Linked DNA regions of Coturnix japonica. The protein of the gene in region 1 interacts with the protein of each later gene in a biochemical or structural test. Links are inferred from orthologs where the notes say so. Each region holds a gene or a part of one and is shown on either strand. Other genes may lie near its edges.

Region 1 (4,265 bases):
CACCGTCACAAGAACAGCAGGGGAGCAGAGGTGCGTGTTGTGGGGCCCACACATCACACCAGCAACCTGCGCTCTCTTTCTGCATCATATCCCCGCTCTCCCTTTAAGCTCACAGCCAACTGTATCCAAACGGCACAAGAGCAACAAAGTTGGGCTCCAGCAAACGTTTTAAGTAGAGCGTACGGAGCAGTATCTCCACCAGGCTCTGACCAGTGAAGTACATCTCCTGCATTATGCAAATCCTACCCAGGAGAAGCAGCGCTTCCAAAGCACTCAAGGCCTTGTGAACTCACAGCGGCTTCACACCATGACCTAGTTACTCAATCTGGGCAGACAGCTTTCAAGAGAGAACAGAAGGACCAGGTTGTTCCAGCATCTTAGCTTGCTTTACAAAAATGCATTGTGGCCCATGAGTTAGGCATGGTCACAAATATTTTGCTACTAGCTCATGTGATGTTCCATTCAGAACAACACCATGTCTAAATGAGTATTTCATGACTGTACGTGCAGCTTATCACAAGGTTTAATAATGCTTCTCTGACACTAAGAACTGCGGGAAAAAGCAGTAAGTGGAGAAAAGATCTCTAAAGCCACATCCACTTTTCCTCCAATCCGTCAGCACAATCTAGGTTTACAAAGCTGCAATTTGGAATGCCTGTGCTCTCACGTCTCCACTAATCAATAGACAGGAGGTTGATTTGGTTCAGGTGAGGGGCCAGAGTTACGACATGCAGCTGTCTGAGCTTCAACCACAACTGCAGTTTGATAGGACAAACTGAACTGCGTATTTCAAAACTAAGCAATGGCAGAAAAAGAGATCTCTTCATACTCTCCGTCAAAGACATAGGCTAAACAAAATCTTCTTTATGTTCCAAAACAAGAAGAAGGCCTTTTACAGTTTACCCTCATATAATTTAATGACTGTGCTGCTCAGAACTTCTGCACCGACTTAAGATGCATTTAATCAAATCCCGTTTCAAAGTATTTATAACGGAAGTTTTGTTCCGTCTCCCAAACAAACCAAGTCACTCATGAACCCATTTAATCCTATTTGTAATTACTTACAGGTTGTTTCTATAAGCCAGCAACGCCGGAGCTACAGGTTACTTGTGGACACTGGATCAATTCTTAGATTCGATTTACTGCTGCAGCTCAGAACCTAAAGCAGTTCTATAATGTACACAAGGAAAACCCTCCTGTTTAAAGAAAATCAAAGGTAGTTCCACGGTGCCTTTAAATCTATTAACTCAGACAAATGCTGTGGCTGTCATCAGGAAATTAGCTGCTACAAAAAAGTAATTACTAGTCATAGGCTGCGTTACGTTTATTTACCTGTAAACAAATATTCTTCTGAATTAAGTCTTAGTAACGCCCCTTTGTAACTGTATTTCAAAATGTACATCCCTCCTGGTGGCATAAGTACAGCAAACAAGAGTAAAGCAGGGATTAGCTTCTTGTATGGGTGGGATGGAAGAAAAATAAAGCAGAGAGAAAAATGGTTAAATCCTTTCCCAGGGGCAGGGGGAATCCCAATAAGGTGCAACCTGCATCTGTACCTTTGTGTCAGTAAAAACAGACAGCAAATACAGCACACACTGTTAGAATTCTGAGCTCTACAAAGAACCCAAAGGAAAAGTCCTGGAAGTCTGCAGGAACGTTTCAGCGATTGCAGAATTCCACCTGGGGGGCGGAGGGGGGTTGGCTGTAAGCAGCTCCTCGCAGCTCTGCACAACACCGCCGCAAGAACTCAAAGCAATGGGGCCCAGCAACACTGCCCAGCACCACCAACACACGGAGACTCACACCCCCGACTGTAAACACTCCCCGATCCTCAACGCAGCGCGGAGCCGCACAAAAGATAAAGGGAGAAAATGGGGGCGGGGGGAGTAGATGGAGGAACGATCGGCCACTTTCTGTGCTACACTTTGGGAAATGCCCCGTGCCTCCCTCTGCCCCAAAGCCCCTTTTTCCCTCGGAGATGCTCGGGGACGACGCGGTTGCAGCAGGCCCAGAGGGCGGCCGGGGGAGCCCCCCACCCCGCAGCACTTCCATTCCCCGCATCCCAGGGAAGCCAACAGCTTCCTGTTCGCCCCGAGCCCTCCCGCCCGGCTCCGGGCCGCAGCCCTGCCCCCCCCTACCCCGTACATACACGCACACCCCCGGCGGCCCCTCGGTGCCTCAGCCCGGGCCAGCAAAAGCCCCCGCCGCGGCCTACGCGGGTCAGCGGGCGCCCGGCGGCCGCCGCCCGGGGAAGGAGCAGAGCGGCCGCCTCGCCTCGCCTGTCCGCCCCTCCCGGCCCCGCACAATGCGCGGCGGAGCAGGCCCCGGCGCTTCCTTCCCCCGGCCCTTCCCACCCCGGGAGCGGGTCACTTACATGGCTCCGGGAGCCCAGGGTGGAGGTGATGGGAGGGCGGCGGCGGCGGCGGCAGGGGAAAGAGGCAGGGGAAGGGGAGGGAAGGGGGGAGCGAGCGAGCGGAGGAAGGGAGAGCCTGGCGGGCGGGCGCCGAGCGAAGGCCTAACTGGGCTCACGGCAGCCGCCGCCTCCTCACCATCCCCGGGCGGCGGGCGGCGGGCCGGCTCCTCCTCCCCTTCTCGCAGGCGCTCGGCCCATGGGGCTCACACGGGCTGCCGGCTCTGCCTTCCCCGCCGCTCCGCCTCGCTCCTGCCTCTGGCCGAGAGGAGGAGGCTGCCTCTCGCTCAGCAGCACCCCCGGAGCCGCAGGGCCGAGCTCCCCGCAGCCGGAGCCGGGCTCGTCCCACACGCTCTCTCTCACATCCTCCGGGTCCTACCGCCGTCGCTCCGCTTCCCGCCCGCCCCGCCGCGCTGTGGGGCCGCGCTGTGGGGCCGCCCTGCTCCGCCTCGCTGCTCCCCTCAGCCCGCCGCCTACCCGGCCCCGGGCCCCGCTTCGGGCTGCCGGCTTTGAGAGGCACCGCCGGCCTCTACAAGGGGCGTCCGGTTGCCAGAGCCTGGGTGTGGGTCACTTTATAGTTTCTCCTGGCTTTGAGGTGCGGGTGTCTGGTCTTGCCGAAGTGTTCCCAAAGTGTTGGCAATGAACTCCAAAAAGCAGGCATCAAGCACGGGGCCACGGTGGTTTCGTGGCACCTCTGCTGCTCAGAAAGCATGTGGCTCCTGTACAGCGCCAGAGCAACTTTGTGAAGCTTTCCTGAAGCCGTACAAATCTACTTAACACGCTGCAGGTTTTTCCCTGCGCCTCCTAAATCCTGATTGATTCAATAATGCGGTATCACTTAGAGGATATTCCAGTATCCTTTCCCACAGCAAGGGGGGCTGCCTGGGGACAGGGTAGCAACCCAGGCCATGAGTCTAGGTGCTGCATCTCAGCCTCCTTGCTGCTTGCTAGGCCGTTCTGCTCTCAGTACACACAAATAATACAGTCACAGAATGGCTCCTGTTGGAGGGAACCTCAAAGCACACCCAGCTCCAACACCCTGCTGTGGGCTGGCTGCCCCCCACCAGCTCAGGCTGCCCAGGGCCCCATCCAGCCTGGCCTTGGGCACCTCCAGGGATGGAGCACCCACAGCTCTCTGGGCAGCAGTGCCAGGGCCTCACCGCCCTCTTAGAGATGAATTTATTCCTAACGTCTAACCTAAATGTCCCCTGCTTTAGTTTAAAGCCCTTCCCAAACCATTACGGATTGCTGCAGCAACGAGAACTGTCGCTTGCAGCAGGGCAGTATTTTGTCAGATTTTAAGAGCTGCTCCGCTCTGAAAAACGATGTTGTGGAAATGGCTTTGACAGATTTATGATTTCTCTGTGCTTCCAGTATCAAAATTTTCCCTGTTTACTCATTAAGGGATTTTGTTTATTTTCTAATTGACAGTGCCATAAAATCTAACTGGGCCGTAAGAGTGCTTTGATTTGTTCAGAAGCATGCGATCACTGATGATCGTGTTTCTGTAATTGGAAGCTCGTTAGAATTTAGAAAATGCCACATCTTCCCACAGCTTTGCACTGTTAACAAAATAAAGGTGCGTAAAATGCATTTACATCAGTAAAGCTGGGGAACGCAGCTCTGCATTTACACAGGCAGCAAATCTATTTGACATACTAAGAGTTTTTCCTGCGGTGTCATTGGGAATGATTGTATGTTCTTACTGAAATTCACATTTTATATCCTTCTTCCAATGTGATCAACTAGAAAGTCTGTCCAAAGAATTATATCCGTCACTAATTTTCTGAGTGTCCAGTGGATCATCAGATTCTGTGTATATCAGTGCACTAAAGGAGCTTGAAAGTGGAGAAAA
Region 2 (3,513 bases), on another chromosome or scaffold:
AGTAGCAAAAAAACATCTACATGAAAGAAGCAAGAGTATTTGAAAGCATTCTGGGTCTGCAATCTAAAAATTTTGTTTAGAAGTTAAATACACATACCCTCTAACAGAGAGAACCTCACAATGCTGGGCAAGTGCCATTATATCTGGAATTACATTCTCCTCTTGAAGCAAGTTAAGACCCCAATTTGATGATCCAATGTTACCCTGGAATAAAATAGTTTGTCAGAAAAGTTTTGAGTTTGATGTGATCTGCAACATCTATGAAAAAACGCCCTCAACACTTTTGTCAGTGATATGGTTTCTAGCATCATCCTCTCAAAGATTTAAGAAAACTGAGCATTTTCTCTCCTTTTTATCTCAGTCATGCAAATCCAGTAAAAGACTCAGGATACTATGTACAACTCAAACTGCTAACTACTACACACTCCTCAACCTACCAATTCTACTACAGCCAGCATTAAAATCTTAGTTTACTTATTTTACTTACCTCTCAAATAAGCATTTTTTACATTATTAAACATTTGTTCAAGATAAGTATTAGAAAAGAAAATTTGAAGGCAACAGGAAAAAAGGGAACAATCAAGGTGATCAAGCAGCTTTGGAATTATAGCTTGAATAAGAAAAGACACCATGTTTTACTCAGCGTTATCCCCAGTACCAGAGAGAGGTTAAGACTATATTCACAAACCTCAACTATGGAAGCAAGCTTTCCTGTAGAAACATATTGTGGAACACAGTCTGGAATCAGAAGTTACAACCTGCTGACACTGTCACTACATGCTGAATTTTTTTTTTTTTTTTTTTTTTTTTAAAAACAGTAATAGCTAAAGCAGTGACACAAAACGCTTAGAAAAAATATACATAGTGAACAAAATCCATATGATATTTCAGTTACGATATAAAAAAACAACTGGGAGGGAAGAAGCAAATATTTTTTAGAAGAATTTGTAAACAATGGTTTTAAAGGATTTTGTTCAGTTACTTCAGAATACAAAGTTGTAACAGAACTCAAGCCACTGTAAAAAGATTGTAAACATGTTACTAACCAAGGCCCAAAGGGCTGCTTTCAGCTGCTTAATTCCTTCCCACTTATCCAGCATTGGGGAACGAACAGTGTAACTCAGATCCGTAACAATACTCTGAAGGAGAAAAAAAAAAAAAGAAGAAAAAGCAGTCAGCTGAAAATGAAGAGACCTCATCTAATTAGGTTATCTTATATACTTTTTAAATTACTGCTTTATGTTTGCTAAAAATGCATCTCACTGTGAATAGCAGTAGCTCTGGCATAATAAGCCTAAGTTAAGAGGAAAAGTAATGTAGGTAAAAACATCAATAATCTGATGCATGCATTAATAAATATGAGGTTATCTCTGATTTTATAAAGGAAAACTTCTTCCACAACATAAGCGCTCACAAAGTTTTTAAATACTAGAGACAATTCACCTTTTTGCAAATTCACTTTAAAAATCACTTCAAATAATAAGTAAACAGCTTTTTTTTTTTTTTTTAAACATTTCTTAGATATCTGAAAGAACGTTTTATTACCTCAACTCTATGCATTTATACGCATGAAAGGATAGACAATTCTAGCACTAAAAAAGGCACTAAACTATATTTCTACTACCAATTTGCTTCCCATTGTTTCTTTTTTTTTTTTTTTTAACTGGTCATTTTAAGAAAAATACTGCAAGGTATTTCTCTGATATTTCAGTGTCAGGAAAGAATTTTGCATTAGTCTGGATGGAAAGGTTCACAAAATTATGGCCCTGTAACACATCAGTTTTACAATCTACTTATTTTGTAGTCACTGTTTAACTGACATCTCTTAAAACACATTCCTTAAAAAAAGGAATGCTGTACACTAAAATCCTTCAAGTTATAAATCATTATAATCCTTACCTGAGACTCCAGTAAATGGCAGCCTGTTTTATGGTGCACCAGTTGGCCATAAAGGTGAACTGGCAGGTAGACATGTGGCCGCTGTAATCTGGTGGGGGGAAAAAAAAACACCTTTCCCAGAAATTTTGAAATTATCTATTAAAATAAATTATGCTGAAGTGTAATGCAGTAATGCAGTGAGTTACTCTTTTTTTTTTTTTTTTAAATGAAGATTTTTGTAAACAGTGTTTACCTTTGGTTGCTCCGACGAACATAGTTATCACCATCAACAGGTTTGCGATACGTTGTAAGTGCTTCATTAAGTTGTTCTTCAATCAACTCAACATACTTTAAGTTATACTCCTAAAAGAATATAAAGTTTGACACTATACATTTTGGTGGCTTATTTTTTATTGTATGATACTTTATAAAGAAGGAAAATAAGAATTGCTTCTTAATTAAAGCTGAGCTTCTTTATTATCTGAACGTGTGCCCTCCAAAATAACCATAACTTGACATTAGGACTTCACAGAAAACTCTAAGTATCTCAGAAAAACTGTTAGAAGGAACAGAAGAAATGTATCACACCTAACTTTAACCTGAAAAACCTCATCAGACCCTAATACATTTCAGTATACATAATATTGTTTATAAACTAGTAAAAAAATTGCCTAACAGCTCATATAATTGTGACCATTCACAAAATAATTACCACCTCAGGAAAATAAATGTCAACACTGCAAAAACAAAATCATCCATGAAGACTAATTTTAGTCTGCCAACAATGTATGTATGTGATTCTAAAAGTAATGCCTTGTTTGTTTTCATGCAAATGACAACATGCACAAAGAGCAAGTTCTCAGCTATAAAATGCTTAGGTAATTCCCATTTTCTGGTGTGACAGCTGTGCATGGCCACATGAAAAACAAGTTTTTCTTCCACATCCCAGCCAACACCCCACCAGTGGTGTGTCCCACTGTGCTATCACCCAGTGTTTGGTGTCCATAAACATTCCACAGGTGCAAATGAATGTAAACAGGAGCCATTTTTTCCACATGGAGGTGTTCAATGACACACCTTTGCTTCCTATGTACTTCCATGTCAGATACCATTTTGTTGGATTGCCTCTCTGCTGCAATTTGCTGCACAGCAACAAAGTGCAACAGGATATTGGTGGGAAGACTCAACCTACCTCTACTGCCATACCACGAACATCTGACTCTGATATTGTGGAAAAACATAATAAAATAAGAGGCAATACTTTCAGAGCAAACTATTTTTTATTCATTCTTTTTAAATGCGTCTTGTGTTCTTATCTACTCTCTAACAGCATAGGCTAATACCATCTTCATGAGATTTGGATATAACTTTAATTACCTACCATCAGTGTTGACAAGCATCTTGAAAAGCAGTATTCCTTTCCACATTTCTCTATGTAAGACTTAAAACAACCTATTTTAGAAAGTCATTACTCTCAATGTATTAATTGGAGTAGCAAATCTATATAAAAGTCTGGGGTAAAAGAGTACCCATCTACAGAGGAGTAATGCAACTCTAAGACCAAGTTGGCAAGCTTTATCAGCCAATTCCTAAGTCACTGAGGGAATACATGTACTGGAATTAGTAATGCACATG

The links. The genes of interacting proteins can lie anywhere in the genome.
Region 2: of the proteins of AKT1 (region 1) and RICTOR, one has a biochemical effect on the other in vitro, tested with the Homo sapiens proteins (7 studies listed by BioGRID, with this or other methods). The link is inferred for Coturnix japonica from reciprocal best matches to the Homo sapiens genes AKT1 and RICTOR.

Annotation. Positions count from the first base shown.
Region 1 is NC_029520.1:46,986,317-46,990,581, forward strand, and holds the start of AKT1 (RAC-alpha serine/threonine-protein kinase), read right to left. Parts: upstream 2,802-4,265; 5' UTR 2,375-2,801; intron 1-2,374. UniProt on the Homo sapiens protein: AKT1 is one of 3 closely related serine/threonine-protein kinases (AKT1, AKT2 and AKT3) called the AKT kinase, and which regulate many processes including metabolism, proliferation, cell survival, growth and angiogenesis.
Region 2 is NC_029547.1:11,164,393-11,167,905, forward strand, and holds part of RICTOR (rapamycin-insensitive companion of mTOR), read right to left. Parts: intron 2,242-3,513; coding exon 2,132-2,241; intron 1,988-2,131; coding exon 1,900-1,987; intron 1,140-1,899; coding exon 1,047-1,139; intron 205-1,046; coding exon 98-204; intron 1-97. UniProt on the Homo sapiens protein: Component of the mechanistic target of rapamycin complex 2 (mTORC2), which transduces signals from growth factors to pathways involved in proliferation, cytoskeletal organization, lipogenesis and anabolic output.